6 linked regions of the Nothobranchius furzeri genome follow. The protein of the gene in region 1 interacts with the protein of each later gene in a pairwise test. Links are inferred from orthologs where the notes say so. Each region holds a gene or a part of one and is shown in the gene's direction. Other genes may lie near its edges. The genes, in order: nab2, nedd9, phf1, rfc5, nme7 and phospho2.

What was found.
Region 2: the proteins of nab2 (region 1) and nedd9 interact in binary tests that used the Homo sapiens proteins (3 or more experiments, as listed by UniProt). The two-hybrid records come from large-scale screens. The link is inferred for Nothobranchius furzeri from reciprocal best matches to the Homo sapiens genes NAB2 and NEDD9.
Region 3: the proteins of nab2 (region 1) and phf1 interact in binary tests that used the Homo sapiens proteins (3 or more experiments, as listed by UniProt). The two-hybrid records come from large-scale screens. The link is inferred for Nothobranchius furzeri from reciprocal best matches to the Homo sapiens genes NAB2 and PHF1.
Region 4: the proteins of nab2 (region 1) and rfc5 interact in binary tests that used the Homo sapiens proteins (3 or more experiments, as listed by UniProt). The link is inferred for Nothobranchius furzeri from reciprocal best matches to the Homo sapiens genes NAB2 and RFC5.
Region 5: the proteins of nab2 (region 1) and nme7 interact in binary tests that used the Homo sapiens proteins (3 or more experiments, as listed by UniProt). The two-hybrid records come from large-scale screens. The link is inferred for Nothobranchius furzeri from reciprocal best matches to the Homo sapiens genes NAB2 and NME7.
Region 6: the proteins of nab2 (region 1) and phospho2 interact in binary tests that used the Homo sapiens proteins (3 or more experiments, as listed by UniProt). The two-hybrid records come from large-scale screens. The link is inferred for Nothobranchius furzeri from reciprocal best matches to the Homo sapiens genes NAB2 and PHOSPHO2.

The regions. Positions count from the first base shown.
Region 1 is NC_091743.1:50,555,446-50,559,644, reverse strand, and holds the start of nab2 (NGFI-A-binding protein 2), read left to right. Parts: upstream 1-1,399; 5' UTR 1,400-1,534; intron 1,535-1,699; 5' UTR 1,700-1,754; intron 1,755-1,919; 5' UTR 1,920-1,968; coding exon 1,969-2,880; intron 2,881-3,018; coding exon 3,019-3,152; intron 3,153-4,133; coding exon 4,134-4,185; intron 4,186-4,199. UniProt on the Homo sapiens protein: Acts as a transcriptional repressor for zinc finger transcription factors EGR1 and EGR2. Isoform 2 lacks repression ability.
Region 2 is NC_091759.1:25,492,111-25,496,758, forward strand, and holds part of nedd9 (enhancer of filamentation 1), read left to right. Parts: intron 1-86; coding exon 87-224; intron 225-863; coding exon 864-1,997; intron 1,998-2,156; coding exon 2,157-2,246; intron 2,247-2,372; coding exon 2,373-2,882; 3' UTR 2,883-4,648. UniProt on the Homo sapiens protein: Scaffolding protein which plays a central coordinating role for tyrosine-kinase-based signaling related to cell adhesion. As a focal adhesion protein, plays a role in embryonic fibroblast migration.
Region 3 is NC_091745.1:62,314,496-62,319,143, reverse strand, and holds part of phf1 (PHD finger protein 1), read left to right. Parts: intron 1-1,088; coding exon 1,089-1,183; intron 1,184-1,891; coding exon 1,892-2,040; intron 2,041-2,319; coding exon 2,320-2,415; intron 2,416-4,648. UniProt on the Homo sapiens protein: Polycomb group (PcG) that specifically binds histone H3 trimethylated at 'Lys-36' (H3K36me3) and recruits the PRC2 complex. Involved in DNA damage response and is recruited at double-strand breaks (DSBs).
Region 4 is NC_091750.1:34,476,410-34,481,543, forward strand, and holds the start of rfc5 (replication factor C subunit 5), read left to right. Parts: upstream 1-1,838; 5' UTR 1,839-2,174; coding exon 2,175-2,221; intron 2,222-2,515; coding exon 2,516-2,580; intron 2,581-2,786; coding exon 2,787-2,923; intron 2,924-3,023; coding exon 3,024-3,103; intron 3,104-3,196; coding exon 3,197-3,270; intron 3,271-3,727; coding exon 3,728-3,887; intron 3,888-4,490; coding exon 4,491-4,572; intron 4,573-5,045; coding exon 5,046-5,134. UniProt on the Homo sapiens protein: Subunit of the replication factor C (RFC) complex which acts during elongation of primed DNA templates by DNA polymerases delta and epsilon, and is necessary for ATP-dependent loading of proliferating cell nuclear antigen (PCNA) onto primed DNA.
Region 5 is NC_091756.1:61,686,501-61,691,148, reverse strand, and holds part of nme7 (nucleoside diphosphate kinase homolog 7), read left to right. Parts: intron 1-695; coding exon 696-746; intron 747-888; coding exon 889-1,096; intron 1,097-1,203; coding exon 1,204-1,309; intron 1,310-3,920; coding exon 3,921-3,985; intron 3,986-4,648. UniProt on the Homo sapiens protein: Possesses an intrinsic kinase activity. Displays 3'-5' exonuclease activity with a preference for single-stranded DNA. Does not seem to have nucleoside diphosphate kinase activity.
Region 6 is NC_091749.1:29,516,141-29,521,341, reverse strand, and holds the start of phospho2 (pyridoxal phosphate phosphatase PHOSPHO2), read left to right. Parts: upstream 1-1,693; 5' UTR 1,694-1,785; intron 1,786-2,774; coding exon of another isoform or gene 2,775-2,841; intron 2,842-2,946; coding exon of another isoform or gene 2,947-3,065; intron 3,066-3,284; coding exon of another isoform or gene 3,285-3,465; exon of another isoform or gene 3,466-3,569; intron 3,570-3,772; exon of another isoform or gene 3,773-3,888; intron 3,889-4,274; 5' UTR 4,275-4,282; coding exon 4,283-4,353; intron 4,354-4,458; coding exon 4,459-4,553; intron 4,554-4,643; coding exon 4,644-5,201. Other genes in the region: syap1 (synapse-associated protein 1), read right to left, coding at 1,350-1,489, 1,571-1,644, 2,775-2,841, 2,947-3,065, 3,285-3,465. UniProt on the Homo sapiens protein: Phosphatase that has high activity toward pyridoxal 5'-phosphate (PLP).

The DNA.
Region 1 (4,199 bases):
AAGGCGGAACCTTTGTCATTGCACAATTTCCTTGTAGACCGAATATCACTGACGCACACAACAATGGCTACTAAAAAGGGATAAAAACAGACAGAAGTTGCCTTGATTGGACTGATGCAGGATTTAGGAAACACGTCCTCCTCTTTTCTTTACTTAGAAAAAGTAAACTTCCAGACAGCAACGGAGTCCATGTCGCAGACATTTTTCAGAGATCGTCTCTGCTGCGGCTGCCCGGTGGCACCGGAAACTTTAAAAATGTTGCGGTAAGCTATATTTTTAACATTTACGTAATATCTGTACAGGGCTGAAAGCACCAGACAGAATAATTCTTTGCCCTAACAGTAGTTAATGAAAGTAGTCAAACAAATGAGAGGCACCTGGCTGCAGCTGGGAAAATGGTCCATGTCCTCACTACTCTGATTTTAGTTGATTTGGGTCTTGTTTCATATCACACAGTGACATTTGAATAATTAAAAGGCATTTTTTAAATTAAGAGCTTTAGTTTACAGTAATAACCATGTCTAATGTTTGATTCTCTGTCTCATAATTTTAATTACAAGTTTTGCTTTGAGGGCACATTTTTTTGAACGATTAAAATGTGATTAATTTAGATTAATTAATTACAAAGCCTCTAATTAATTAGATTAAATGTTTTAATCGAGTCCCGGCCCTAATATATATATATATATATATATATATATATATATATATATATATATATATATATATATATATATATATATATATATATATATATAATTAGTTATTACAGAAAGGGTTTATTAAAGTTAATGTATTATTTGGCTTAAAGAAGATGAATGTAAGGGTTTAGGTGAACATGAATGTGATTAAGCAAGGGTGCCCTCCCCCACCCACTTGACCAACCTTTGGGACCGCCACTGTTCACATTTATCATTGATTCATTTTTCCTGCCTTGCTGTTGATGATGATGCTGGTGCCACGAAATCGTTCAGAACATGATTCAAATCTGACATGTTTTCGGTTCTAACTATATAATATAATATATATCTGATTCAACAGTCGCGTTAACCTTTTTCTGACGTTTTTTCTTAGACTTTCTTTGTCTTGGAGAACAGAAACAGGTTCAAGCAAAAACCCGTGTTCACGTGTGGGCTCCTACATGCAAACCCACATTAGTTGATCGTTTTTAACCTAATGGTGACTTCAGGTCTGGGGGTCTTTGTGGTGGTGAAACTGGGAATCCCCCACAGCGTGTGCGTCAGGAGCCGTGAAGACGCACAGGGTTAATTTCAAGCCCCCACCACCGCCGCCCACATCCCCTATTTGAAAGCCGCCTCTCTACCGGGAGAGGAAGGCTCTTTTTCGGTCAGATGGCGTGCTGCAGCCCGCCCCCGTCATTCTCCAGCCCACACAGACAGCAAAAAGGCAGCCAGAGCCAGCAACCAATACGGTGCGCCGGAGGAGGATTTCTGCCAGTGATATCGGACCAAGCAGCGACGCGCTAAGGGGATTTACTACGGCGATCTGCGGCGTGGAGGCTGTCGGTGAAGAGGTAAGAGGAACGAATCGGATGTAGAGAAGGACGACGTGTCGCTGAGCAGGGAGTCCTCTCTGACATCTGGCTCAGGATTGGCTCAGTCTGACTGGAGCCAGTCACCCAAGCAGCTCACTGCTTCACATCAGAACCATAAGGGAAAATATTTGGCTTCTTTCACAGTTTTATTCCAGGGAATAAGACCAGACTGCTTTAAGTTTCAACTCATCTGAAAAAGGTAAGAAAGATTCAAGAGTACTTGGTGCACGTTTGTGTTTTGCATGAAAAATATCATGTTTTTAATCCTAGAATCATGCAAAAGTTTTTGTGCTTCAGCCTGATAGATGCATTTGAAAATGAGCTGTCTGGATATTTAACATCTCTGGACTTTTCCACTTTGCAGGTTCATGTGTTTCCTTTCTCCTGCCTGAACTTTTCCAGTGCCGTGTGCCATGTCTCTGCCACGCACACTTGGGGAGTTGCAACTCTACAGGGTGCTGCAGCGGGCCAACCTGCTGGCCTATTACGAAACCTTCATCCAGCAGGGCGGTGACGATGTGCAACAACTCTGTGAGGCTGCAGAGGAGGAGTTTCTGGAAATCATGGCACTAGTTGGCATGGCCACCAAGCCGCTGCACGTGCGTAGGCTGCAGAAGGCTCTCCGAGACTGGGCGGCGAACCCTGCCCTTTTCAGCCAGCCTGTCGCCAACGTTCCTCTCGGGGGGATCCCTCTGTTCAAAGTTGATGGGACGGGCACTAGTGGGTCAGCTGGCGGGCCCAGAAAGCCTGTGAGTAATGGGCAGCCTGGGTCGCCCTGTGAGAGGGAGGATCGGGCGTGCCTCACCCCAATGTACAGTGGGAGTCCAAGGAGCCCCTGCTCCCAGGCCTCTCCTCAACCGCCAGAAACACACTACAGGGAAAAACTGTCCCCCATGGACCCCCACTGGCTCAGCCCAGAGCCTGATGGTAATAGCAATGTAGCTTCTGCACCTGGAACAGAGGAGGAGGCGCCCAGCCCGCCACTACTGTCCACATGTCCTCCTGGTCCTTCAACATCTCCTGTCCCATCTGCATCATTCGCCCCTTCGGCTCTGTCAGCCTGGCCTGGAGGACAGCTGGACGGGGAGACGGCGAGGGCCGTGGTGGAGAGCGTGGAGCAGCTGTTTAGGACCCTGCCCCGGTCTGATCTCACAGAGGTGAAAACCCTGCTGAGGATGAACAAGAAGATGGCAAAAACTGTGGGGCACATCTTCAGAATGGGTTCCCAGGATGCAAACAAGGAAGAAGAGATCCGGAAATACAGTCTGATTTACGGGCGCTTTGACTCCAAACGGAGAGAAGGCAAGCAGCTCTCACACCACGAGGTAAAACCTAACAAGCACATCACCCGAGCTCACGGATCGCTAAAGTGACAACAAACCAGATTTTATCTTCACCTTGTGACCTTAAATGTTGATTTAAAGCCTCCATCACTCCTTCATTCGGTGTCTCCTCCTCCCCAGCTGATCATCAACGAAGCTGCAGCTCAGTTCTGCATGCGCGACAACGCTCTTCTCCTCAGACGGGTGGAGCTGTTTTCTCTGGCTCGACAGGTGGCCAGGAAATGTGCCTACACCTCCACACTGAAGAGCACAAGGTGAGTGAGGTAGGGGTGAGCGATGAGGATTTGACCCACACAAACACACCTGCTTCACACGAGTTTCAGATCGAAGCAAAGTGTTAGTTAGACGTTTTCAGTTGTTTTATTCAGATTTCTTCTGTTACAGCTCAGGTTTTATATAAAAAGTTAATCAGGTAAAAAAAGAGTACACCTCAATTCAATTCTAGAATTTTGGGGCAAGCATGGGGCAACGGTGGCACAGGAGTTAAGTGCTGGCTCCATAATTGGAAGGTTGCAGGTTCGAGCCCCGCTCTGTCGCTGTGTCTTTGGGCAAGACACTTAACCCACCGTGCCTGCTGGTGGTGTTCGGAGGGACCGGTGGCGCCTGTGTACGACAGACTCACCTCTGTCAGTGTGCCCCAGGGCAGCTGTGGCTACAATGTAGCTCATTACCACCAGAGTGTGAATGTGTGTGAATGGATACATGACTGTTTGTGTTGTAAAGTGCCTTGGGGGGTTCCAGGACCGTATAAAGCGCTTTATCAGATACAGGCCATTGACCTATTTATTTATTTTTAACCATATTTTGATTCCAAAAGTTGACGTTCTTTAGTTTAAAATCCCAGACATGGCCTAAGCACTATTGTTTGCTGTTCAGATTATTGGGATTATTATTATAATTTTTTGGTCAAATTATTAAAATCTAATCAGAAAAGTTAGAGAATAAAGTTATAAAAACACAAACATTATTTTGTTGCAATTAAATTTTGAATCAATAAATCTAGTTGAGGAGACACTGAATCATCAAACTTCAGTTTAATGAGCTAGAAACAGTATTTTTACATGTAAAATTCCAGGTAATTTTTTTTTTACCAGTAAGTGGCTATAACACTCCATCATACATCTCATTGTTTACATTAAAATTCAAAAATGGAACGGTAGTTCATACATTTTTGGGAATTTTGGCAGAATTCTTATTGCAATTAAAAGTTTTTATTTTTTTATTATCTTCTGCAGGCCGAATGCGGATGAGAACAGCAGTTTGTGTAATAAGAGACCAAGACATGAGGTAAGCATTTACAG
Region 2 (4,648 bases), on another chromosome or scaffold:
TATTCCTAAATATTCCATCTTTTTGCTGTTTGAAGCTGCTGAACTCTGTTTTTAATCCTTTTCTAAAAGCATCTCTTCTGTTTCAGACGTACGACGTTCCGCCAGGTCACATGTTCCTGAGTCAGCCGGGCGGAGCCAGGAACCAGGGAGTCTACGACGTTCCCCCGTCTCAAGTGGAGCCCAGAACACAAGGCGTTTACGACGTGCCCCCGTCCTCGCAGGGGGTAAGAGCGCAGCCCCCGAGCCTTTTACTGTCGGTAGTAAATGAGTCGGTGACGTTTATGAGATTCCTGCGGCTCCTCTGAGCGAGCGCCTCGGCAGCCAGTAGAGTTCCCAGAGCTGTGGCTTTGTGTTTAAACTTCATCTGTCAAAAGGTTTCTATTTCCAGAAGCTCTTAGATTTCATCAGAACCGCCGAGGCGGTTTGTTAGTAATAACATGAAACACGCTCAGACCCGCTCTTACTCCTAATTACAGCTGGCTGCTCCCGTCTCGCTGTTCCAGATGGAAATCACTTACAGCCCACAGCCTAATTCCCCCCGCTGAGCTCCCAGGATGCTTTGAGGCAGAGCGGTCGGGTTGCAGCAGGGTCAGAGCTTCGCCACAGTCGGGAACGTTTTAAACGCGTCGCTTTTTCCCGAGTAGCCGGGAAGCTGCTGCTGCTCAAGCTAAATCCAGGCTGGAAAACTGGGAAGTGGTGTGGGAGCTCTGCGGGACCATCCGTAAGTCTGGAGCAGACTCGGATGACTTCAGGATAAAATCCTGAAATCCCGTTCCGTGCCCGTTTGAGGTTCGGGAAGGAGATCGGACCGGCAGAGTCTGTTTCCTGTTGATCAGAATCTCTAATCATCTTGTTGTCCACAGATCTACGCGGTGCCCAGCTGCAGGACCAACGCAGCCCTCCAGGAGGGGAACTACGACTTCCCACAGCCCCTCAAACACAAACAGGAAGGGATCTATGACGTCCCGCCCCCTTCCCTCACCAAGCCCACCCCCAACCATCAGTCTCCTTACGATTTCCCCCCCAGCCTCGGGCCTGCCGCCCTCCGCCAAAACCCGAACCCCGACCGGAGCGAAGGCATTTACGATGTTCCTCCGACGGCTCTCCTTTCGGTTCTGGACCCCCAGCAGGACGTTTACGACTTCCCCCGGGGCGTGCCGGCCCCCCAGCTCAAAAACTCTGCCACTGACGGAAGCAAGGGAATCTACGACGTTCCAGTCCAGGAAGCTCGCGCGGTAGCGGACGTGACAGACAACGTGAACCGCCTGTCCTTTTCCAGCACCGGCAGCACGCGCAGCAGCATGTCCACGTCCTCGTCTTCAGCCGGGTCCAGCTCCGAGGGACGCCTGGTTCTGGACGTGGACGCTGCTGTGCAGAAGTTGTACCGCCTGCAGCAGGCGCTGGACCTCTCTGTCGGGGCGCTGCATTCAATGACAGCTTCCCCTCACTGGAGGACATTCCCGTTCATGGAGCGCCAGGCCAACGACGTCCGTGCGGTGCTGGATCGGGTCCGGGCCACCGTGGTGGACTTTACTACATTCTGCAGAGGAGCCGCGGCCAACGCCACGTCTCTGTCGGACTCCAGCCTGCACAGTAAGCTCCGACGGCAGCTGGGACGCCTGGAGGACTCTCAGCAGATCCTCCTGCAGACCTATCACGCTCTGGAGATTTCCAGCTGGGCTCAGAAGGCCCTGGCCTCATCCCGACCGCACCACCACAAGAGCGACGACCTGGACCGCTTCGTCATGGTGTCCAGGACAGTTCCAGACGATGCCAAGCAGCTGACTTCCACCATATCTGGGAACGCTGAGCTGCTGTTCCGACGGACGCACGCGGACGGGTCGCTCTCTAGCGGAAGCACGCCTGAGGAGAACGACAACTACGGCGGCCGGACCAAGGCCTTCCCCGCCCCCCCGGGCCAGGACAAAGACAGCATGAACAACAGTGAGAAGTGTGTGAAGAGCTGGATGGAGGACTACGATTACGTCCACCTGCAGGTCAGAACCTTTTACGGGTTTAACCGTTTAACTGTAGAGTTTTAGGTAAACGGGTCAAACAGAAAACACCACCTCTGATAACCTAAAGTGTAAAGTATAAGCGCCTTGCTCCGCAGCCGTGGGACCGGCTCATCTCATCCTGTTCCCGTTTCTTCCCAGGGGAAAGAAGACTTTGAGCGTCAGCAGAAGGAGCTGCTGGAGAAGGAAAACATCATCAAGCAGAACCCGGCTCAGCTGGGCCAGGAGCAGGTGAGACGGGAGAACTGGGTGTGGATAAGGAGGAAGGTTTAAGAGAATCAGAACCTGGGAGATGTTTGGGACGGGCTTTAGTTCTGGTTCTGGTGGAGAATAACCAGACCTCTGGTTGCTTCACAGATCAATCAGTTCAAGAAGCTGGAGCAGGAAGTGATCCAACCCGTGGAGAACGACATCCCCCAGTGGATCAGCGCGTCTCCGTCGGACCCGTCCTCCGTCCACGTCTTCTCTCGGGACCGCCAGCTGCTCGCCTTCTATTCGGCCCAGTGCGAGCAGCACTTCGTCACCCTCCTCAGCGCCGTGGACGCCTTCTTCGGCTGCGTCAGCGCCGGCCAGCCGCCCCGCATCTTCGTCGCCCACAGCAAGTTTGTCATCCTCAGCGCCCACAAGCTGGTCTTCATCGGGGACACGCTGTCCCGGCAGGCCGCCGCCCCCGAGCTGGCCAACAGGGTCATGAACTCCAGCAACGTTCTGTGTGACCTGCTGAAGACGGTGGTCACCGCCACCAAAACGGCCGCTCTGCACTACCCCAACACGGCCGCCATCCAGGAGATGGTGGACCGGGTCACGGACCTGTCGCACCACGCGCGGCAGTTCAAGGAGCAGCTGCTGCAGATGGCCTCGTCGTGATGTTCCTCCTGGCTGCGTGTGTAAATATCAGCTGTTTCCTGTAGATAGTTTTGTATTATGGTCTGTAGGTGCAGTCGTGGTGTCTCCGTAGAACTTTGTGGACTTTTCAGAACATTCCTGTTGTGTCTGAAGCACCTTATGAGCTGTAGATGTTGTTGTTTGTGGAGCTCGTCTCAGAGTAAACAACTAATCTGAACACGGGTCAGACTCGTCTTACTGACACAAGTTTTCAAACTACCAACCTTTCCTGAAAAGCAACCGGAGCCCGTTTGGCCCGGCTCTGTTCAGAACCCCTCGGCCGTTTAGATTTTCCTTCCATAAACAAGATTTTTGAACACCAGTTTCTGTCTGGGCCTGACTGGGTCGATCAGAACCGAGCCTTTAGAACCTGCAGCAGGTTTTCAGGAACCATCAGACTCTGTGGTTTTGTCTGAACGGGGGTTGAGTAAGTGAAGTGGACCGGTACCAAGGGCTCAGCAGACAGGTAGTAGCTCAGAACCAGAACCCAAGGTTCTGCCGAGTCATTTCCTCCTCTCGCCACAGACTGGTTCTGGAATTACAGCTCAGTTCCTCCAGAAGCTGCAGATGGAAACGCAGCGGTCCGGATGTGAGGGACGCGTGGCTTCGCCGGTACCACAACAGCCGGGCCTCGGCCCGCTTTGAGGTGGCTTCCATCCGGGCCTGCACGTGTGTCCAAGGCGAGACGGATGAAAGCAGGAGACTCTGAAGTTTCATCCAAACGCATCGACAACGATTCGCTATATAAAAATATTTCACTGGTCTCCTCCCGGTCCTGGTACCGGCAGGTTCTGGTACCAGCACATAAAACACTTCATTTATTTTTCTAAAGGTTTCAGCACCATAATTCCTGAAGTGTTCATTTTACAGAGCAGCTAAAACATAAAGAGTGATAAACAAACCAAATGTAAAAACTAAAAGATCCGCAGAGTTTGAATCTAGACTTTAAAATCTGCAGGTAGAGAAAAGTTGAGTCCAATAAAGACCAAAAAAACACGAAGGACGTGTTTGGATGAACAAAGGTAAGCATTATACTACCTAAATATTACCTTAGTAGTATTACTTTTACATTACTGTTGTTAAACATATCAGAACTGGTATTTCCCCAAAGGAACTAGAAAACTGCAAACAGGAAGTGTTTTCTCTGCGGCTGTGAAAGGCATTAGTCAAAAGCTGAACAGAAACATTAATAAATGAATTTTTCCATTTTTACATTAAAATAAACTTTTATATTGATGAAAGGTTTTAGCTTACCCTACAAACAAAGCCTGTCTTGTTTTCATCTCTGACCTTTGACCTGAAGTCAGGCCGTTTTCTGTCAGTGCGTTGCTGCCCCCTGCTGGTGGCTCTGGGAAAGACAAGATTACAGATTTAAATCCACCAAACATTCAGTAAAAACGGCCCAGACAAAAGTATTTCCCTAAGTGAAAAGATTCATAAAGATTAATTAAACACCCTAATATATAATAAAATATATTTTCAAATGAGATAAAGCAGGTTCCTCTGGGTCTCAGGATGCATTTTATTCACATTTATTTTTGTTGTTGGGCAAATTTTTATTTATTTTGATGTACAAATATAAATGGTAATGAAAAACGCATGCAGACAGTTTAACTTTTTTTTACTTTTATGTCTTAAATAATACATTTCTTAAAATAGTTTTATAGGAATAATAAATACATTTAAATATACTTTTAAATATATGTGAATTAGAAATGATCCAAAGTGACCAGCAGATGTTTTTTTCC
Region 3 (4,648 bases), on another chromosome or scaffold:
GATACATTCTTTGTCATGTAAAGATTTATTAAACAAAATTTGATATAAGGTTTAGGAGATTGGAGCCATTTTAATATGGCAGCATCACATTTCTTACTACCTGTTAGCTCATCAATCCTGAAGAACGTAAACTCTTCATTTCCCTGAACAGAGGCTGTTCAGGGCGCTGTCTACAATTGGTGGGGATGGAAACACTTCAGTTCTAAAGAAATGTGGGCATCAGCTGTTATGATCATACAGAAACATAAACTTGTATTTTCTAAGTTTACTGAACTGTGAGCATTTAACCCTAAATGTTGTATTTTTGAATTAACTGGCTTCCATTCAAAACGTTCTGATGAAAGGGTAAACTGATATATCAGCCGACCGATACATTGGGCTGATATTTGACATTATTATTTATCAGCATGGGCTGAAATACCTCCTTAGTATGTACGATTTTAAAGTCAGACACATCCACAGGCAGCTGTAGAATTTAATTTAAATGTAAATTTATGTTCCTGGAAAAACAAACATCTTCATAATAAAAGCTCCAAAAGATATTTTCAACTAAAATTTCTTTTTTACTCAACAGTTTTGAATATTTAGTACTTGGTCAGTTCATTGATTTGTTTGATTAACTTTAGTTAAACGTCTGGTTTTAACACTGAGCAGTGGTTCAAAAACTGATTCAACTAAAGAAATTTTGTGCATCAGCCGGTGTTAATGACACTTTAGCATGCAAAAATGTTGGAAAACATTTAGATATTGACCATGAAAATTGGCCCAAAATCGGTATCTGCAGCAGATAAAACAATATCTGTCCACTTTCACACTGACTTCATACTCATCAGATGTGCAGGTTTTAAAAATGCCCAGCAGCAGATGCAGGAAATGGTTATGTCATTACAGCAGCCTTGCGCAAACATGGTTAGTGTCAGTCTGAGGAAGGTGAGAAGCAAACATGGCTCCCTACCTACATGCTGCTAAATGTTCTGCATGCCTTTAAAACCAAAGTCTTTAAAATGGAGCTGCTCTGCCATTACTGTCATCCTGGCTGTCTGTCTTATAAAGACAAATTACACGCTCTGCCTCCTCCTCTGTTACAGGTTATCATCCGGAGTGTCACACACCGACTATCGAACTGGAAGCAGACAGCGATTCGTGGATTTGTCGTCAATGTGTCTTTGCAGTCGCAACCAAGGTCAGGCTGCTAATCTCTCCGTCTCACCCATAAAAAACACCATTCAGTCTGGAATAATGGAGGAATCCTGTCAAATACATCAAGGCTGTGTGCTGCATGTAATGTGTTTATCTGAGGCTGAAAACACACTCCTTCTCTCAGCAGTGGCTCTGATATGAGGCGCTCTGCATTGTGTCTGAGGAACTGTGGACAATCGATAGTTATGTTGGTTTACAGGAAATCAGGAGCACATTTAAAGTCAATCCATCACATGTGCTCCATTTCTGTACCTGAAAGATGAAAAAAAAAAGCAATTATCGATCTGTCAAAGTCCAGATCTCAAAAATTCTGGTGCCAAAGAATTCAGCTTTCATGAATAACCTACAATAAAATGAGATAATTTCACTGGAGGTTCTACGGGCGGAGCCACAGAGGCATTAGCTCCTGCTGAAATCTGATTGGCTGCCTCTCAACTATCCTTTGTCCGTGATTAGATGTTAGGTGGATACGATTCCAAGTCCAAACACAAGTGGCGCTAATCAGCCAAATAAGAACTTCCTGAGTTAAATCTTTAGTTTAGTTGTAGGATTAATACTTGGCTCCTCTATAAATATTGCGGCCCCTTGATGGCCCCAAGATGGTGTCTTTGTTTTTGGACATGTCTACTGATTCAAAAAGATTTAATGGCTCACGTGCAATCAGTTCTGTCCCAAATTTGTTTTTTCCCAGAGAGGCGGAGCTCTGAAGCGAGGACGCTTCGCCCGACTCATGCAGTTCATGAAACTCCGTCTCCCCTACCAGCTGTCGTCTTTAGACTGGGACCCGCAGCATCTGACCAACCAACAGCAGTGTTACTGCTACTGCGCCGGACCTGGAGAGTGAGTTTAAACACACTGTTCATGTCTGCTCTGTCACCTGGCTCGTCCTCTGGATTATTTATGATTGGCTGGACGTCATGTTGTGAAATAAACTGAATGCAAAGCGATTTGTTTTACTTGGCGTTAATTTATTTATTTTTGTTTATCTGCAGAATAAAACAAACGCAGTATTTTTTTGTTGTTGTATGTGAACCCAGAATCATTGTGTAATTGGTGGTGGACACATTTTTGTGCAGATGAGTTTAATGTCGATTGGGTTTTCTTGTTGCTGGGCTGCAGGTGGAACCTGAAGATGCTGCAGTGTGGAAGCTGTGGTCAGTGGTTTCACGAGGCCTGCACACAGTGTCTAATGAAGCCTTTGCTTTACGGGGACAGGTAGGTGACAGATCACTAATCTGCATATGGACATCTCTAATTGGACTGAATGAGTCTCAAAAGATACGTTTTTAATTATTTGTAGCATTAAGGACTATCTTTGATCCACTGAATTTTGCATGGCCGTAAAACAGATCTGGATCAGTCAGCTGGCCTGCTAAGTGATTAGTTATATGATGTTCTTGTAATGAAATCACTTTAGAACAGTTATTAGCTCCATAAGAGAGTGGGATTTTGTGTGATCGTAAACGCGTAAATGACATCGATATAGCTGTGACATGCTGTCAGTTGACTTCTGGATCAAATCCTAACTGGTAGCAGCCCATTCTTCTTCAATGGTGCTTGGATTTCAGTGATATTTGGCTCCCCGAGCCACTTAGTTGTGACTGTTCCTGGATTGTTGAAGGAGTTCCTCAGGGAGGATGTTTAGGCAACATTCTTTCTTCATGGCTATTCTCAGGCTAAACTGAGTGACTCCCCTCCCTTGGCTGAGAACGTCAGTCTGTCTCTGATTCTTTTCTTGGATAGAAGTGACTTCTTTGTTGCTCTTCCTGACACCAAGTTTCCATCCAGAAGTCGTTTTCTCATTATACTGCAGATGGACTCACACCTACCTGCTGCTCTTTTACTCGGAGTGAGTGGTTGACGTTTGTGTGTCTAAAAACTTTGAACTCCAGCTGTGTTTCATAAGAGACTCAAACTGGCTCTTATATTGACCCCGGAAAACCTCAAAATGAATGGACCAATAATATTTCAGCTGAATGGTGAAAATGTCTGAATTCTGATAATAAATTTGTTACAATGTGTCCCTGATGAGAGACGTAACAAAGTAAGGAAATTCCTGGCAAATAGTTGGAGACGCAAAATTGCAAGAACATATGCAAATTAGTTGAAACATCATTTAACTTTGAGTGTTTTTGTGAAAGTTGAATTCTTAAAATTAATTTGCAATGTTTTGTAATTCGTTTACGCTTCATCTTCATTTTCTAGCATATCTGCCACACTCTTAATGTCAGACTGTCATGTCTTAGTCTCCAGTTGCTCACAAATGAGTTTAATTTGGTCTCCAGCTTCAGTTTCATTAGTCTCACTCTTTTTTTTTAAGTGTTTGGCGTTCAGAGGCTAAACTTTGAGCTTTGCAACTATTTTGAGGAAATGGCTTAGTGCAATTTTAGGTTTACACATTTAAAATTCTAATGACACGATTTGTGCTGCAACTCACCAAAGGACATTGATGCTCTACAACCTTTTTATTATAAATTTAGTTGAAATACTTGACAACACAGGTTTATTGTAATAAATAAAGATAAATCCAGACATTCGCTGCCTTATCGAGCCTTTCCACCAGACACAAATGCACGTAGTATGCAGCAGTTAGCCACCAATATAGTGAATGAGTGTGTTTCCATTGGCCCAATAAGCGTTACGTTTAGGAAGCACACCAGAAGCGTATGTATGAGTTGCCTATGCTTCAAGTCTATTTTCTACATACTCTTCCAGAACATGTCAAATTCAGCTTGGGCCAGACAGAAAGTCAAACATGAACGCAGTGTAAAACATCCAGAAATCTTTCAAAATAAAAGTGGAGTTAAAAATTCTGTTGTGTTTGTATGAAGAAAATATTTTTATTATTCATTTTGTATTTATTTATTTATTTATTTATTTGAATCTAATATCAGGAGAGAATTGTCTGTTATTCAATGTTTGGTGGTTAAATTATAAAAAGTTTTTTTTAAATGAACATTACAAAGCTACATCTCATCAATCTGACCAACATATTAATTGGGAAAAGAAACAGTTTTATGGAGCAGGAAACTGCGGATCAACAGACCATTTATCAAAATTCATAACAACACATTAATCATCTTGTTTAAAGCGGCTGGCCAGAGTGAAATTGACTAAGACGTCTCTGAGACAGCTTCCCCTTTCAAAGAATCGTCTTCATTATCCTAAATGATCGGTGGACATGTGGAGAGATCCAGGAACATCAAATCACCCTAAAGCAAAAGGGAAAAACAGCTGAACAGATCATTCAGACACGAGTCTGGGTGAAAAAGCCGGATGAGATTCATCTCGTCCATCGGTTTAAGTTTGTGTTGTCGTTAACCGTCTCTGGGACGCCGGTCTGTTTTGCTGCCCAGGCTTCTGGAGGGAAGGAGGATAAAAGAAGCAATGAAAGTGAGATTGACAGTTGGGGAAAATGAGGCAGGATTGGTCGAGCATCTGCTGAGCA
Region 4 (5,134 bases), on another chromosome or scaffold:
GCGCGCGCGCGCCTGTTTTAAGTGGTCTCAGAACGGGCAGTGTGACATCTCAAACAAAAACACCAGGGTATTTATGGCCATTACGTAACGCAATTTACGGAATACCCCGCGGGCCAATTAAGGGATATTTTGCAACAATGTCAGTTATCCGCGCGTCTTGCATAACCGCTCATGGGGTCTGGGACACGCTGCCACAGCAGATGCGCAGGCTGTCGTCTGCTGGTAATGGATTGTAAACACGGGCAGCCTATAGGCCTCGCATCATACTCTGATGAAGAGCCACCTTCATCCCCGCCACCTGCAGAATGCGCAAGTCTGTAAAACAACCCACTGCAGACGCACCGTGGCCTCTTGATTCATTGCACTGCACACAAAAAAACAAACAAATAAAACAGATAGCGGCGAGCTTTTAGCGGAGATCTTTGCATATGAATGCATTGGCAGCACAATGCCCCCTGGAAAAATGCACATAAATATGCAGAGTGGCCTAAAAACAGCACGGTGGCAGCCCTCGGGATGGATGGAGGTGGAGATGCACCACGTCCAAAAGAGACACCAATAAAAGCTTACCTCCAGCGTTCTTATCTCCTTTTGCGTCAAGTCGTTGGATGTGGCACATTTGGTCCGTAAACCCTCCAAACTAGAGATGCTTATGTCTATCATGTTCTGCACCAACTCGCACTGCTGCAAGGCTTTCTGCAAACTCAGATGCTGCTCCTCGCTTTTTGTCATCTCCTCGTTCATTGTTTGGCGAACAGTGGGTGGATAGTTCTCTTTGCAGGAGAAAAATGACAACGATAAAGATTATTTGAAGGAAATAAACGTGGAGGAGCCCACGGAGTACAGCGACCTGCAGAACGCCATGAAAAGAGATGCTGCGGGTTTGGATTCAGGGTTTGAGCCGTGACAGAGTCGACTCCATCGCCTCCATCAGTCCTGCTGGATCATCAAGGTGGGCTAAATCAGATGCAGCATGAAGACACCGAGCTGGACTGCGCGGTTTGACACAGCATCCATTGGGTGCCTCTTCCTCTCAGAAGGATGTTGAAAGAAAAAAAAGAAAAGAAAGGAAAAGAGGGATGTGGCTCAGCGCATCGTAAGCGGACAGCTCGGAGGGAAGTCTGGAGCGCTTAACGCTGCTGGATGCGGGTCCTCCGTGTCTCCCTGGGCAGCAGCAGCATCCCGGTACGTTCCCACCACACCGACATGATTCCTGTCAATCAAACCCACAGCAACAGCATAGCAGCGCCCAGGCTCCGCCGTGAGGGGCCGCTCTCGCGAGAACTCCAGGCCTGGATGAGAAACGGGTTTTCTTCATGTCCGAGTCAAAGATTTTTTTATTCTATTTCATTTACTCATATCAACGCCACATATATGTGCACTCTTATTACACACTTACACACACACACAATATATATATATATATATATATATATATATATATATATATATATATATATATATTTGATTAAAAAGATCGCAGTGCAAGCATCGCTGAAAAATCATAGATTGTTTAGTCAAAGATCAAAATGAGGCTAAGGTCAAACTTAGGTTTATATTAATTTTCTCGGGGTTATTTGACTTAAGGGGACTTTAAACCACAATAAAACCATAAACCTGTGTTTACATGAAAAATGTGATCTATTTTAGGTAAATCTTAACACGGGCATAGCTCATAACACATTTTCTAAAGAAATTAGAATGTTTAGGTACAAAGTGGGTAGTGACAAACATCTAGTCATCATCATCATCGTCGTCGTATCTGGAAATAGCTGACATAATTGTTTTTACGTTGTGCTTCTTTCAGGACATTCTGGCTAATATAATTGATCAAGCTGGATAAATATTTTTGGTTTTATTGGTTTCTAGTGATTTATTTGCAATGAGAAAAGAAAAAGTTTGACATTTAAACGAATTTGAAGAGGAACAACAATGTTTGACATTTCTTGCAGCGTACTGATTAGTCGCAGTTGTGTTAACTTTTTGCAGCGCTCAACTAACCACAGTGACCCCGCCCACTACAAAGACAAATACCGTCATCCAATTGGTTGTACGTATTGACGTTTTGACGCACGTTTCTCTCGTGAGCGCGGCAAAACAAGGCAGGGTTACAAGCTAACGAACAGGCTAAAATTCTAGTGTTTATTTGTGATTATTGTTCATTTGCAGGAGGCATGGCGTCTACGAGTAAAGTCCCGTTGCAGTCTCGGAATTTACCTTGGTGAGCAGAAAGCGCGTGTTTAATTACGCAAAGGTGCTTAGTGCTAGCTAGCTAGCATGCTAGTAGCTGAAGTGTTCACACTTGTGTCCCCCATCATAACTTTAACCTTTTACCGTTGCACAAACTCGTCAAACAGACCTTGTTAGGTTCGACAATAATGATTAAAATGGCAACGGAATCTACAGATTGGTTTTATTTGAGCTAATATGTTTGCTTTCTGTGCTGTCAAGCTTTAATCATTCAGTAAGTAGTTATTGTTTATAATATAACTGACGCACTTGTTTTGTATTTCAGGGTAGAAAAATACAGACCTCAAACCCTCGACGATTTAATTTCACACAAAGATATCCTGAGTACCCGTGAGTATCTGCAAGTAAAACACGTTGTTGTCTTCTTTCCTGAAGCTTCATCTGTGTAAAATAAATATTCACATCATAAAATTCTACTTTTAGTAACTAAAATCATGATAAAAATAAACGTTTCTCTGATTTCGTGTGTTTGAAATTATATTTTCATACTTATAAATGAGTTTATTTTTGTTAATAACTTATTTTATTACCTTCAGTCCAGAGGTTCATCAGCGAAGACAAGCTTCCCCACCTTTTGTTCTACGGTCCCCCTGGAACAGGCAAAACCTCCACGATCCTTGCCTGCGCCAGGCAGCTGTACAAGGATAAAGAGTTCAATTCCATGGTGCTGGAGGTAAACAAACACTTTCATGAGTGTTCAGGGCTTCTTCCTGTGCTGGAATGACCTCACGAGGGTTCGGAGATTGTTCAGAAACTTTGCTTTTTCTTTGCAGCTAAACGCGTCTGACGACAGAGGGATTGACGTTGTACGAGGTCCCATTCTGAGCTTTGCTAGTACCAGGACTATTTTTAAGTGGGTATAAACAAACTAAAAGGGCTTTTGGGACCCAGAACCTCTGAGATTTTGCAGGTACCTGTACGGCTGTCATCTTTTCTGTTCCTTCAGGAAAGGCTTCAAGTTGGTGATTCTGGACGAGGCCGATGCCATGACCCAGGATGCCCAGAATGCACTGCGCCGAGGTGAGCCATCTGTTCTCCAGGGCGCCGCCCACTGTGAGCCTCACAGCTGACTGAGCATCCTCATAATCTGGCTGCTTTTAAAATGGTGGATCTGCTTTCCAAAGCCAGATTTGTTTCCAAACGGATTCTTTTAGGAGTTTCAAACTGGGAGGAAATGGGAAAACATGTTTCCTGTTGCTGGTCGCTGTGGGTTTTGTTGCTGATTGCAATTTTACTCGTATTTAACTGAGGCATGCATAGAAAAGATGCTGTCAGACCCTGTCTTGCTTTAGAATATTTGATCCTTTTCATGTTTGGTTTAGAAATGCTGGCTGGTAGAACAAAAACCCACGGTGATGATTTGTGATTCTTATCAGAACTTTAAAATGTTTGCAATCATTTCCTACTGCAAGCAACACTTTCTGTTCGCTGCGTTAGTTTTAACGTCTCCTGCTTGTGCCGACCTCCTCTGTCGTAGTGATTGAGAAGTTCACAGAAAACACTCGATTCTGCCTCATCTGTAACTACCTGTCGAAGATCATCCCCGCTCTGCAGTCTCGCTGCACCAGGTTCCGCTTCGGCCCGCTCTCTCCCGACCAGATGGTCCCCCGACTGGAGCACGTTATCCAGCAGGAGAAGTAGGAACATTTCTTCTCTTTTCTTTTGCAGATTCGGTTTTTGCACCCAATCCTGGTCCTCTAGGGGCCCTGTCCAGCGTGTTTTAGTTGTTTCTCTGCTCCAACACACCTGATTCAATGCTTGAATCACCTGTTCAGCAGGTCGTTAAGCTCCGCAGAAGCTGCTGTGGTAAAACCTGCCCCAAAAATCACAGATGAGTTCATCTGAGGTGAAGTCAGAGTTCTGAGCTTCTTCTTCCACGTGAACATTTAAGTTCCCCTAATTATTGCAAACATTTGATTTAATGTAAGATACCAAAAATCACAAATGATCGTTTTATGCCATCGTGTTTTCAACGACTTTAAACATTTTTATTTTTTCTTTGCTTTCATGCAGACGCATGAAGTGCATGGATTGGAGAACTTTTCACACCTCAGAGCATTTAAACCTTCTCCAGGCCTTTTCCCAAGTCTTCCCATCAGAGTTGCTCCTTTAGGAAAGATTCTGGACTTGAATTTAGACTAAAGCGTTTCATTAAGAGATTTATATTTAGGTTTTAATCGGATGGATTGGAACTAATTTAAACTAAAAATTAACCGGATAACTTTTTTAACATGTGGCAGCGTTGAAGTGACTCCAGATGGAATGAAGGCCATTGTGACGTTATCATCTGGTGATATGAGAAGATCGCTCAACATTCTGCAGGTACGACTTAAATCTGCTTTCTTTCTGGCCCAGACGTTCATTTTCGATCGCCTGGAAGTAGGGATGCAACGATACCACTTTTTTCCCAAACCGATACGATACCGATACTTGGATCTGGGTACTCGTCGATACCGATTACCGATACTTCTACCACACAAAAAATGCAATGATTTGGAATACAGATTTTACTTTCTTCTCTGCTTTCAACAGGAAAAGACTGTGAGGAAGATAAAAAGTAAAATATATGAATGGAAATCATCACAAAACTAAAATATTAGGTGAACAGAAATGACAAGTTACAGTGAAGCCATTTTCAAACAACTGCATTGGTATCGGTTAACCTTTACCGATACTGGTATTGGTGCCGATACCAGTATCGTATCGGTGCATCCCTACCTGGAAGTGTTAAGTCGCCACAGCGTTCATCATCACATCAGTAGAGGGGTAAACTGGTGCTCTCTCTGGGATTTCAGAGCACCAGCATGGCGTACGGGAAGGTCACGGAGGACACGGTGTACACCTGTACGGGCCAGCCCCTTCGCTCAGACATCGCCAACATCCT
Region 5 (4,648 bases), on another chromosome or scaffold:
CATTCATTTTGGATGGATATTTCCAGAAATGACTGGTAAAAACTACACATTGTCTCTTTAACAAAATCCAACAGGCAGACTCACCTCACACTCTCTCCCTGTAGATGATAGAATCTGCTTTAAGGTGCATGTGCTCACCTACAGAGCTCTGAACGGCCAGGCACCTGACCACCTACCCCAGCTTTTATCCCCACGGCCTCGCATGTCGCAGAACCTGCTGTTCCACACGCTGGAGCGAGAACCAAGAGGCTCCCACACTGGACCAGCTTTCTGTCCAAACTCAGGCTGGAGAGGCTTTCATAAAAACATTTGACAACCAACCTGTTCAACCAGGCCTCCCTCTGTTAAACCTTTGCTGTTATTTTTTCTCTTCTGTCACGTTCTCCCTGATCACGATGGATCTGACTGTGATGTATATTTTTCCCTTTTTTATAATTTCAGCTTTATTTGGATACACAATGTCCCGTCCAGTTGTGCAGCGCTTTGTGCTAATCTTGTCTGTGAACGGCGCTCTGGAAAATACTTTTGAGTTATTACTAAAATGTTCTTTTTTCTGCTGTTATTGTTTTTTCCAAAGCAAATCACCGCTATCACTAAACTCTGTTAATAACAGTCATCTGGCCAACAGACATGTGAGAAGTGCTGCATCATTTGGTCACCCATTGACTTTGGTGGATGGTTTTGTTGCTTTACAGGAGCCAAGCGGAAGACTTTTACGTGGAACATCAGTCAAAGCCTTTCTTCAGGTGAGTGCTCGTGTAAATGATCTCCCAGTTCTGAGCAGAGAAGGGTTGTGATTGCCATCTAGCACTCCGACCACAACCTGTGATGGTGACATTTTAGAGTTTTTTAAATTCAAATCAGCTCCAACGTGACTCTGTTTTGCAGTGCGCTGGTGCACTTCATGTCCTCTGGGCCAGTGGTTGCCATGGAGCTGGTGGGTGACAAGGCCCTGTCGATCTGGAGGGAGCTCCTGGGACCTGCAGACTCTGCTGTGGCGTTAACAGAGGCGCCACAGAGCATCCGTGCACAGTTTGGAACAGACGCCATCAAAAATGTGGCCCATGGCTCTGACTCCATAGCTGTAGCAGCAAGAGTGAGGATTTTGACTTTGTTCTCGCTCTCTTGTGCCTTCAGTAGTCTGAGAATCGCACTTCCTGGAACGGTCATGATCATTAAAGTTTGTGTGTTTGTTTTTGTAAGGAGCTGGAATTCTTTTTTCCTTCCACGGTCGGCCATGGCCCCTCCAACACAGCCCTGTTCACAGACTGCACTTGTTGTATCATCAAACCCCACGCTGTATCAGCAGGTAAGGAGTCACTCAGGCATGGCAAAATATCTCACTTTTATTTGTATTTTGTTATTTTGAGTTCCTGTGCTGCTGGCTTGTTTCCCCCCCCCCTCCCCAACAAAGCCACCATGTGGTTTCCAAAATGGCCTTGGATTTTTCCAAATCCCAGTGCTGATCCCTGCTCCCGGGGCATGCCACCAGAGCTCTGAGCTGTGAAATGTGAAATTCTGTGCAGAGCTGATGTTTGCACACAGAAAGCTGTTGACTGGAGGTGGACCCCAGCTTTTGTTCTGCACTTACAGCAGAGAACATACAGTAATAACTACAGATCCACTAATATCTTGTTGTATCTTGAGTTTCATCATTTCTCTGGTATCTGACTGTCTTTATGTTTCAGTTTGAGCCAGCGTGACATTATATTGCACATACATGTATAAATTCATGTACCCTTGCATTTACGATGGAAACGCTCTCAATGGTCCCTGAAATAAACTTAAAGGGATTTTCCACCCCTAAGTGAAATTGAGTTTATTGCTGTATTCCCCAGAGTCAGAAAAGTCAGAAAAAAAAACCGACAAAATGATTCATTATAAAGGTTTTGTGAAAGCAAGGCTTATTTCCGTCCACTGCCTCTGGGCGATAATAAAGCCATGGTGTATCTGTGCACCGCTGCTCTCTGGCCTGCCTTCATGCTGCACCTAAACAGAACAGATCGCCCACTTTTGTTATTTCTGCAGTTACAGCCACGCTTAGCCTGCTAGGGCACGTTCAAATCTTTGGCTTGAGAAAGGAGGCGGTGAGAGAGAATACAAGTGGGCATGCTTTGTTTGTCTGCAAGGCACCGTTGAGCAACAGTTAAGCTTGCAACGAGCCGCGGTGATAAACCAGCTCGGTCCGAACGCATGGATTTCAACATTTGCTCAGTGAATACCGGTGGTTGTTGGCTGTGTTAATCATTCCTGACAGGTCACAGTGATAGTGCTCTGTGCTCGTATATAAACTTTTTATCAAACCCCGGCGTTTTCAAATGAAGGTTTCCTTCATTAGGGGGTCCAAATAAATTTAAAAAAAGTAGTTTTATGTGGAACAATAATTGCTCCCCATGTTACGTCCTGATTTATTTGTGATTAAACATATTTGTAGAGCTGGGGTGAGTTTCACCAGCCACACCCAGGCCTGCTTACTGCCACTAACTTCAACAGAACCTGTCCAACAACATGAAGTAGGCTAAAAGATCTCCATGCTCTGGTCTAAAGAACCCAACATCACCAAAGCACTGCAGACCTCATTAAGGTCAGAGGTCATGAATCAACCATGGCGACAGAGAGGTTCTACTGACCGTAATAATCCATAAGACTCATCTCACATTACATTTAGTGTAAAACTAACACTTCATTTCAGTGAAGTATCCTCATTCCAACAGTGAAGCATGGTGATGGTGGTATGATGGTCTGGGGCAGTTTTGCTGCTGCAGGACCTGGGCCACTTCCTGTAAATGATGGAACCATGAACGCTGATCCGTAGCAGAACATATCTTAAACAATGTCTCGCTTAAGCTGATGTGTTTGATGTGCTACAAGAAGTTTGGCGCTTCTTAAAACAGTTCAGTTAAAACGAATCAGTTATCTCTCAGAAAGTGTGGCATTGTTAAAACTTCAAAGCTCCTACTCAGGCGTCAGTTTCACTGCTAGAAGTGACTCCCACACTGTTTACCTTCAGAGCCGTGATATATTTGGTCCGAGCCAAGAATAGAAACCAGGCTGAATGATTTGTCCAGCTGAGGTCGACAAAAAGCTCTGCTCTGATCTCCCCTCAGAAATCTCTTCAGTAGCTCATTTATGTCGTCAAGACGGCCTGTCACCGTGGCCATGAAGGACGCTGTGAGTGAAAATTCACTCAGACATGACCGGAATAGAGAAGCTTCTGTTGCCAGGCTCCTGGAATAGTATCTCCTAGCAACAGCAGCAGCTGCTTTGTGGCGCTGCGAGGAGTGTGTGGAACCTGTGCAGTCCTGGGGAGGGCACAAAGGACTCAGGCTATTACCTAGTGCACATAACTGGACTGTGACGTAGGGAGGGAGAGATCCACAGACGGCGGCTACGCCTGGTTCCTATTGAACGTCTGCGCTGCAGCATTTAGAGTTAATGAAAACCGTCCTGGGTGACAGGTACACAAGCTACTTTTTATCAGACTGAGATTACGAGACTGGCGCCTTGATTCAATTGTGTGTCTGCAGCAGTCTGACCTTCAGAGTCACTGCAGCTGCACCACTTCTACAGCAAAGACCCAGCTCTTTGATGGGATGTACAGTTCACTATCTCGTTTCCTAAAAGGTTGCCTGGACAAAAATGCTTTCCCTCGATAGACAACACATCAGCGAGACTATCTCACTCTGTCCAGAGGACAGACTGAGGTCAGTGCACTGAGATGTACCGCTGATGTCTGAGCAGAAGCACGTTCAGTAGTGATGCATCCGGACTTCACGATAGTCAGATGCTTCACTGCAGCAGTGGATTCAGGTGTTATTTGATCTGGACGACATCTGAGATTGCTGCAGCACTAAAATACCGTGTTTGTCCTTCTGTGTAAACTCGGCTCATAAAGACTGATGAGCATCATGTGTTCACAGGGCTGACTGGGAAGATTCTTAACTCCATATCTGCAGCTGGATTTGAGATCTCAGCTCTTGGAATGGTGATTATTATTTTTCTGTGTTTGTTTCACATGAAATGAGTAAGGTCTGTAAACTCTAGCGCTTTAACAGCGACTCTTCATGCTTCCCACAGATCGATGCTGTAGAACTAACAAGCTGCTCAGTGTTACTGTGAAAGGGTTAGGGTCCATTAGGTGGAATAAAATCCCTTCATTTCAGTCTGTTGTAACAAATGGTTAATGGCCTGTATTTATACACCACTTTCTAGGGTACGACACAGCTTTTATTCACACACACACACACACACACACACACACACACACACACACACACACGCGCACACACACACACACACACACACACACACACACACACACACACACACACACACACACACACACACACACACACACACACACACACACACACGCGCGCGCGCGCGCACGCACACACACGTTCAAACACTAGCAGTGATTAGCTTCAGTGTAGCCACAGCTGGGAGACTGACAGAAGCTAGGCTGCTGTAAACACTCCCTACTGGTCCCTTCAACCACCACAAGTGCCTTGCCCAAGGACACAACTTCTTTCAGTTCAGTTCATTTATAAAGCGCCAAAACACGACAAGAGTCGTCTCAAGCACCTTCACACAGTAAACATTCCAGTACAGGTCAGTTCATTAAGTCAATCAGTAAAACTGACTAGTG
Region 6 (5,201 bases), on another chromosome or scaffold:
GGAAGGGGGACCTCCTGACCTGCAGCAACCCCAGAGACATTACACTTCTCTCCATCCCCGGCAAACTTTTCACCAGGATTATGCTCACCCGTGACCTGCCAGCTATCAGGTGCAGTCGCCACCCCCGGCAGGCTGTCTTTGTGCCCGACGAGCCACTACAGACCACATCTCTGCCGTTCGCCTACTGATAGAGGTGAAATATGAATTCCGTAAAGGCTGACACCTCGATACCGGGTTTATTGATCTGAAGGCTGCGTTTGACACAGTCTTCCACAACTCACTGTGGAGTTTCCTACAAGCACTTGGAGCACCACCCAAGAGCGTTGCCCTGTTCAAACTTCTCTACAGCAACGCACAGAGCTGCATCCACTCTGACTGGTTTTCCATCTCCAGTGGTGCCCAGCAGGACTTCTACTGCCTTTTCGACCATCTGATGTGCAAGGTCTGTGAACGGATCTTCAGAGTGAACCGTAGGCAGCTACCACCAGACTGACCTGGTGTATGCCGACGACACCATCTTGCTCAGCACATCCCACAGCGAACTGAGTGATGCTCTGGTTATCTACAGGGAAGAGGCAGGGAAGCCTGGCCTCCAAGTGAGTTTGTTGTACAAACAATCAGAGGATTTTAAATCTGAGCGATGCTTAGAGCATGCATTTTGGAGGAAGAGAGAGAGTGTGGCTGCCAGCGTTGGTTTACCCCACCCCCTCTCCAGAGATGAGGAACCCAGAAGGATGTGGCTGAAAAATCTTAACTTGAAAACCACCAAAAACTTTGTTTGTGCATTTCTTTCATTTTATTGTGAAAATACCCAGACAGGAACACCTGCATCCTACTTTGTTGTTAGATATGACAAACCTCCAGAGACGAGAAGCTGGGTAGCAAACAGACATGACAGCAGCCTCACAACAACAACAACAGGTATGATTTCATGTGGACAATTTTCTGAGTAATAACGTAACGTGTGTTCAGACCACCAGCTTTAACCTAAGTTCCAAAACTTCGGCAAGGACATCACAAAATAGTCAACGATGCAGCTTTATATTGTATCTGATACCCGGCTGGAGCATACACACACTCCACTTATTACTATGTAGATACTGCTGAGCCTCTAAGCTTTGAAGATTGTTTATTGCCTCACCATCTGACACAACAGAGTTCAGCAAAGATCTAGAAAAGTTACAGTATGTTATCTCTGCTGCCCCTGTCTCAGAAGTGGTTCCCACATTCTGCTCACACACACACACACACACACACACACACACACACACACACACACACACACACACACACACACACACACACACACACACACACACACACACACACGATGTAGAAAGACCACTTACTGCTTAGGAACCAGGTCAAAGCGCATGCGGTTGAGGAGCTGGTCCTCCTCCAGCATGACTGCAGCCAGAGGATACATCTGCTCCATGTCAAAGTGGAACTGAACACCTGCTGGAGGGTCCCGCAGGAAGTTCCTCTTGTCCTACAATCAGCACCCAGAGAGGTCAGTGTCTGCACAAACAGCTGGTTAGAGACACCACTGTAGTAGGATGGTGCTGCTTACAGCGGACAGAGCGAGGATCTGCTGCTGGATCGTCTCTTCCTCGTTGTAGCCGACCCATGGAGGCACTGCTGCTTCTACACAAACACGTTGACACACTCTTATCTCTCTTTTACACACACACACACGCCTAGTTCTTCTAAAAGGACATGTTACGATAAGAGCGGATGGAGCCACATAACTTCAGCTGATTCTCAGGACCACAACGAAGAGTTAAGGTGAGACTCAGACGTCCTCTTTCAGGTCTAACCTGCTAATAGAAGCTAATGGAGCATTGGGGCAAAATAATAACAGTATCTTACTTGAAACTAGTCTAATAATCTATCAAATATTCTATCAGCATTTCTGTACAATTATTGATCCAACATAGTCTCCCCCCCCCCTAACAAAAGGGGACAATAATAAAACTAGAAACATGGGCTGCTATCAATTAGCCAAACAGTCACTCTAATGTACGAGTCTGTTTATAAACTGGTACTGATGACTCCATGGAGAACAGCGAGTCACTTCCAGTCATTCAGACCTCCTTCTGGAACAATAATTCTCCAGGATTTCAAAGGATCTTCATTTTCTTTAGACTTCACCTAATATTGTGGCTGTATATTTGTGAAATGTCTTTTTTTTCCTTTCCGTTTCTTCAACACAGACATGCAAATCATTCGGGCATCCAAGACAGCTAAACTTAAGGGATGAGCCACCTTCCTGTTGACAGCAAAGATTCAGGGCTTCTCAGCAGAAGCCCGTCACAAAGACACGATTTGTTCTCAGTTCATTAGATTTGTGAAAAGAGTCAAAAATCCCAATTTCACAAAAAGTAGGTTGTAACTCCAGGAAGGCGTTTCTAAACGATCAGTTAGCTCAAGCCCTCACACGGAATAAATGATCTGCTCCTGTTTATGTTTTTCCTAAAGTCAAGAATTTTATACACAGTCATTTAAAACAGATTTAAACTTTGTGAACCTTTTATATTTTTCTACCTCCTATCAGCAAGTGTTAAAGTACTAATTAACTTGTGTGTGAGCTCATTTTAAGTGACTCAATCCATCTATTCGGCTTTTTCTCATGTATTTTCAAACATTTTCATTAGATGGTCATTTTCATCTAGCGAGGACTTTGACCCTAACACACAGGGTCAGCAGGGCTTTCGGTGACCTGAAAATGCCACCTAATGGTGACACACCTGTGATTACGTCACATCTGGCTTTACCTGACTTTTTGGCTTTCTTCTCTTGAACAAACTTCTCTTGTTCCTTCTGGAACTCCCCTAGAATAGTCTGCAAAGACACACAAACACGTAATCAGTCATCTAACTTATACAGCAGATAACACGAAATCCTGCCCTAAAGGGCTCAAAAACGTGGCCAGCAATCCCGCCATGCCTTGTCTATGATGCCGTCGATCTTTCCTTGTTCTACTGTCTTCTTGATGTTCTGAGCAGTCTCCACCACAGAATCAGAGAGCTTCTTGGTGGCGTTGGAGGCAAAGCTGAAGATGTAGTCTTTAAACAGGAGAGGAGATAAAAACAGAAACGTTTATTTAAACAAGAAGCAAACAGCAGATTTTAAACTCAGCTGACTTGGCTGAAAACAACAAATGGAGAAACCTTTAGTTCGGGTTTAAGATGATATAATAAACGCTACCTTCTGAAAAAAAGCGTTAAACTTCTCTAAAGACATTTACTAATCAATAGAGTAGCGAGACATAGTTTGTTCCTCACCACCAAATCCTTTGTTCTGCTGAGTGTTTGTCTGCGTTGTCTCTGCCTCCCCATCCTGGTCAGCTGGTTGCTGTTTGTTTACGTCGTTCTGGGCTTCCACCACCTTTTCCTCCTGCTCCGCTCTCAGGTTCTCCTCCGACGTCTTCTCCAGACCCAACCACGTCCCGAATCCTTTGAACATGCTGGTTCACAAATTTAAACTCGTCAGAGAAGAGGTGACGACAGAATATATCACACTAAACAGTGCGAGGATTATTTTATGCAACCAGGAAGTAAAGGGGCAGGGTTTCTTCTTCTGTTTTATGATTTGTCAGAGCTGAATTATACTACCACCTAGTGGCCACAGAGCAAAAATGAGCTTGTTCTTGTTCGTTTACTGTGATTTTTTAACAATTAATTATTGTTGCATAAATATTCAAGAAAATTACATCAAAAATAATTAGATAATGACGATATTTTTAAGGACATTTGATGAAATCTATCTCAACGTCATGATCTCGTTCTAGTAATGCATCGAAACAACCAGCAGGCGGCAGTAGCGAGCAGAAATGTGTTGCACATATTTACAGCCGCTGTTTCCGTCGGACTCGTGACAGACAGACCGGTAATAATTTATATTTTAATATTCTGATTTGTGTAAAGTAACTAACTATGAATTCGGCCTTAGAAACACGTGTACTCAATGCTGAGTCCTCTCTACCCAAATTTGGCATTTTGCATTCGTTTTTAATCCGGAAGATTAGGCTGGACAAGCTACGCCAAACTCCTGCTTAAAATAATACTAGCTTTTAAAAACATACTATTGTTGTGATAATTTAAGCAAAAATCAGATCATATTAACAACGCAGCCGTGGTTGAATCGGCATATTAAAATAAGCAGTTATAGAAAATGAAAGTGCTTACAGTTCAGCCACTAAACCTGTTTTACTCCTTGATGATGATTATTTCACTTTATTTGTGTGTCTTTATTCAAAACCACATTTTTTCCAGGTGAAAACATGAAGCATCTGATGGTGTTTGATTTTGACCACACTGTGGTTGATGACAACTGTGACATCTGGGTGATCCAGTATGTAATAAACATCAGACGTTATCCAAATATCATCGTAGATAGGAAAGTGTAGTAGGGTAACCATTTATCCTTTTATTAATCTCACTTTTTTCCTGTTTTCAGGTCCCTTCCGAACCAAAATCTTCCAAACTCTGTGAAGTGTTCCTACAGAAAGGGCCACTGGACGGATTACATGTGCAGAGTGATGCAGTACATCGGTTAGAGTTCATTATGATATTTTATTGTGTTTTGTTTCTTCCTTCCTGCTCAGCCATCAGCTGTGATCCTTTTTTCATGAATTCAAACAGGAGACCAGGGGGTCAGTCCTGACAGGGTACGAGCTGTGATGGAGACCATCCCCCTCACCGCTGGAATGATAGACTTGCTGACATTTATATCAGAGAATAAAAACACAGTTGACTGCATTGTCATCTCTGATGCCAACTCCTTGTTTATAGAATGGGTCCTGACAGCGGCGGGACTTCAGTCAGCTGTGGACCAGGTTTTCAGCAACCCGGCTAGGTTTAACGAGTCTGGCTGGATGGAGGTGCAGCACTACCATTCTCACGACTGCAACAAATGTCCTGTCAACCTCTGCAAGAGGAAAGTCCTGGAGCTCTACCTTTCAGAGAAAACGGCTGGTGGCACAGATTACGAGCGGATCTTTTATGTGGGAGACGGTGGGAACGATTTCTGCCCTACGTCCTGCCTGAGGGAGAATGATGTGGTCATGCCCAGGTTGGGGTTCACTCTGGAGAAACTGCTAGCCAGGGCGACAACTCAGGAGGGTAGCCCCTCCGTTAGAGCTAACGTTGTTGTCTGGAGCAGTGGCTCCAAGATCCTCCAGGAGCTAAAAGCAAGTATGA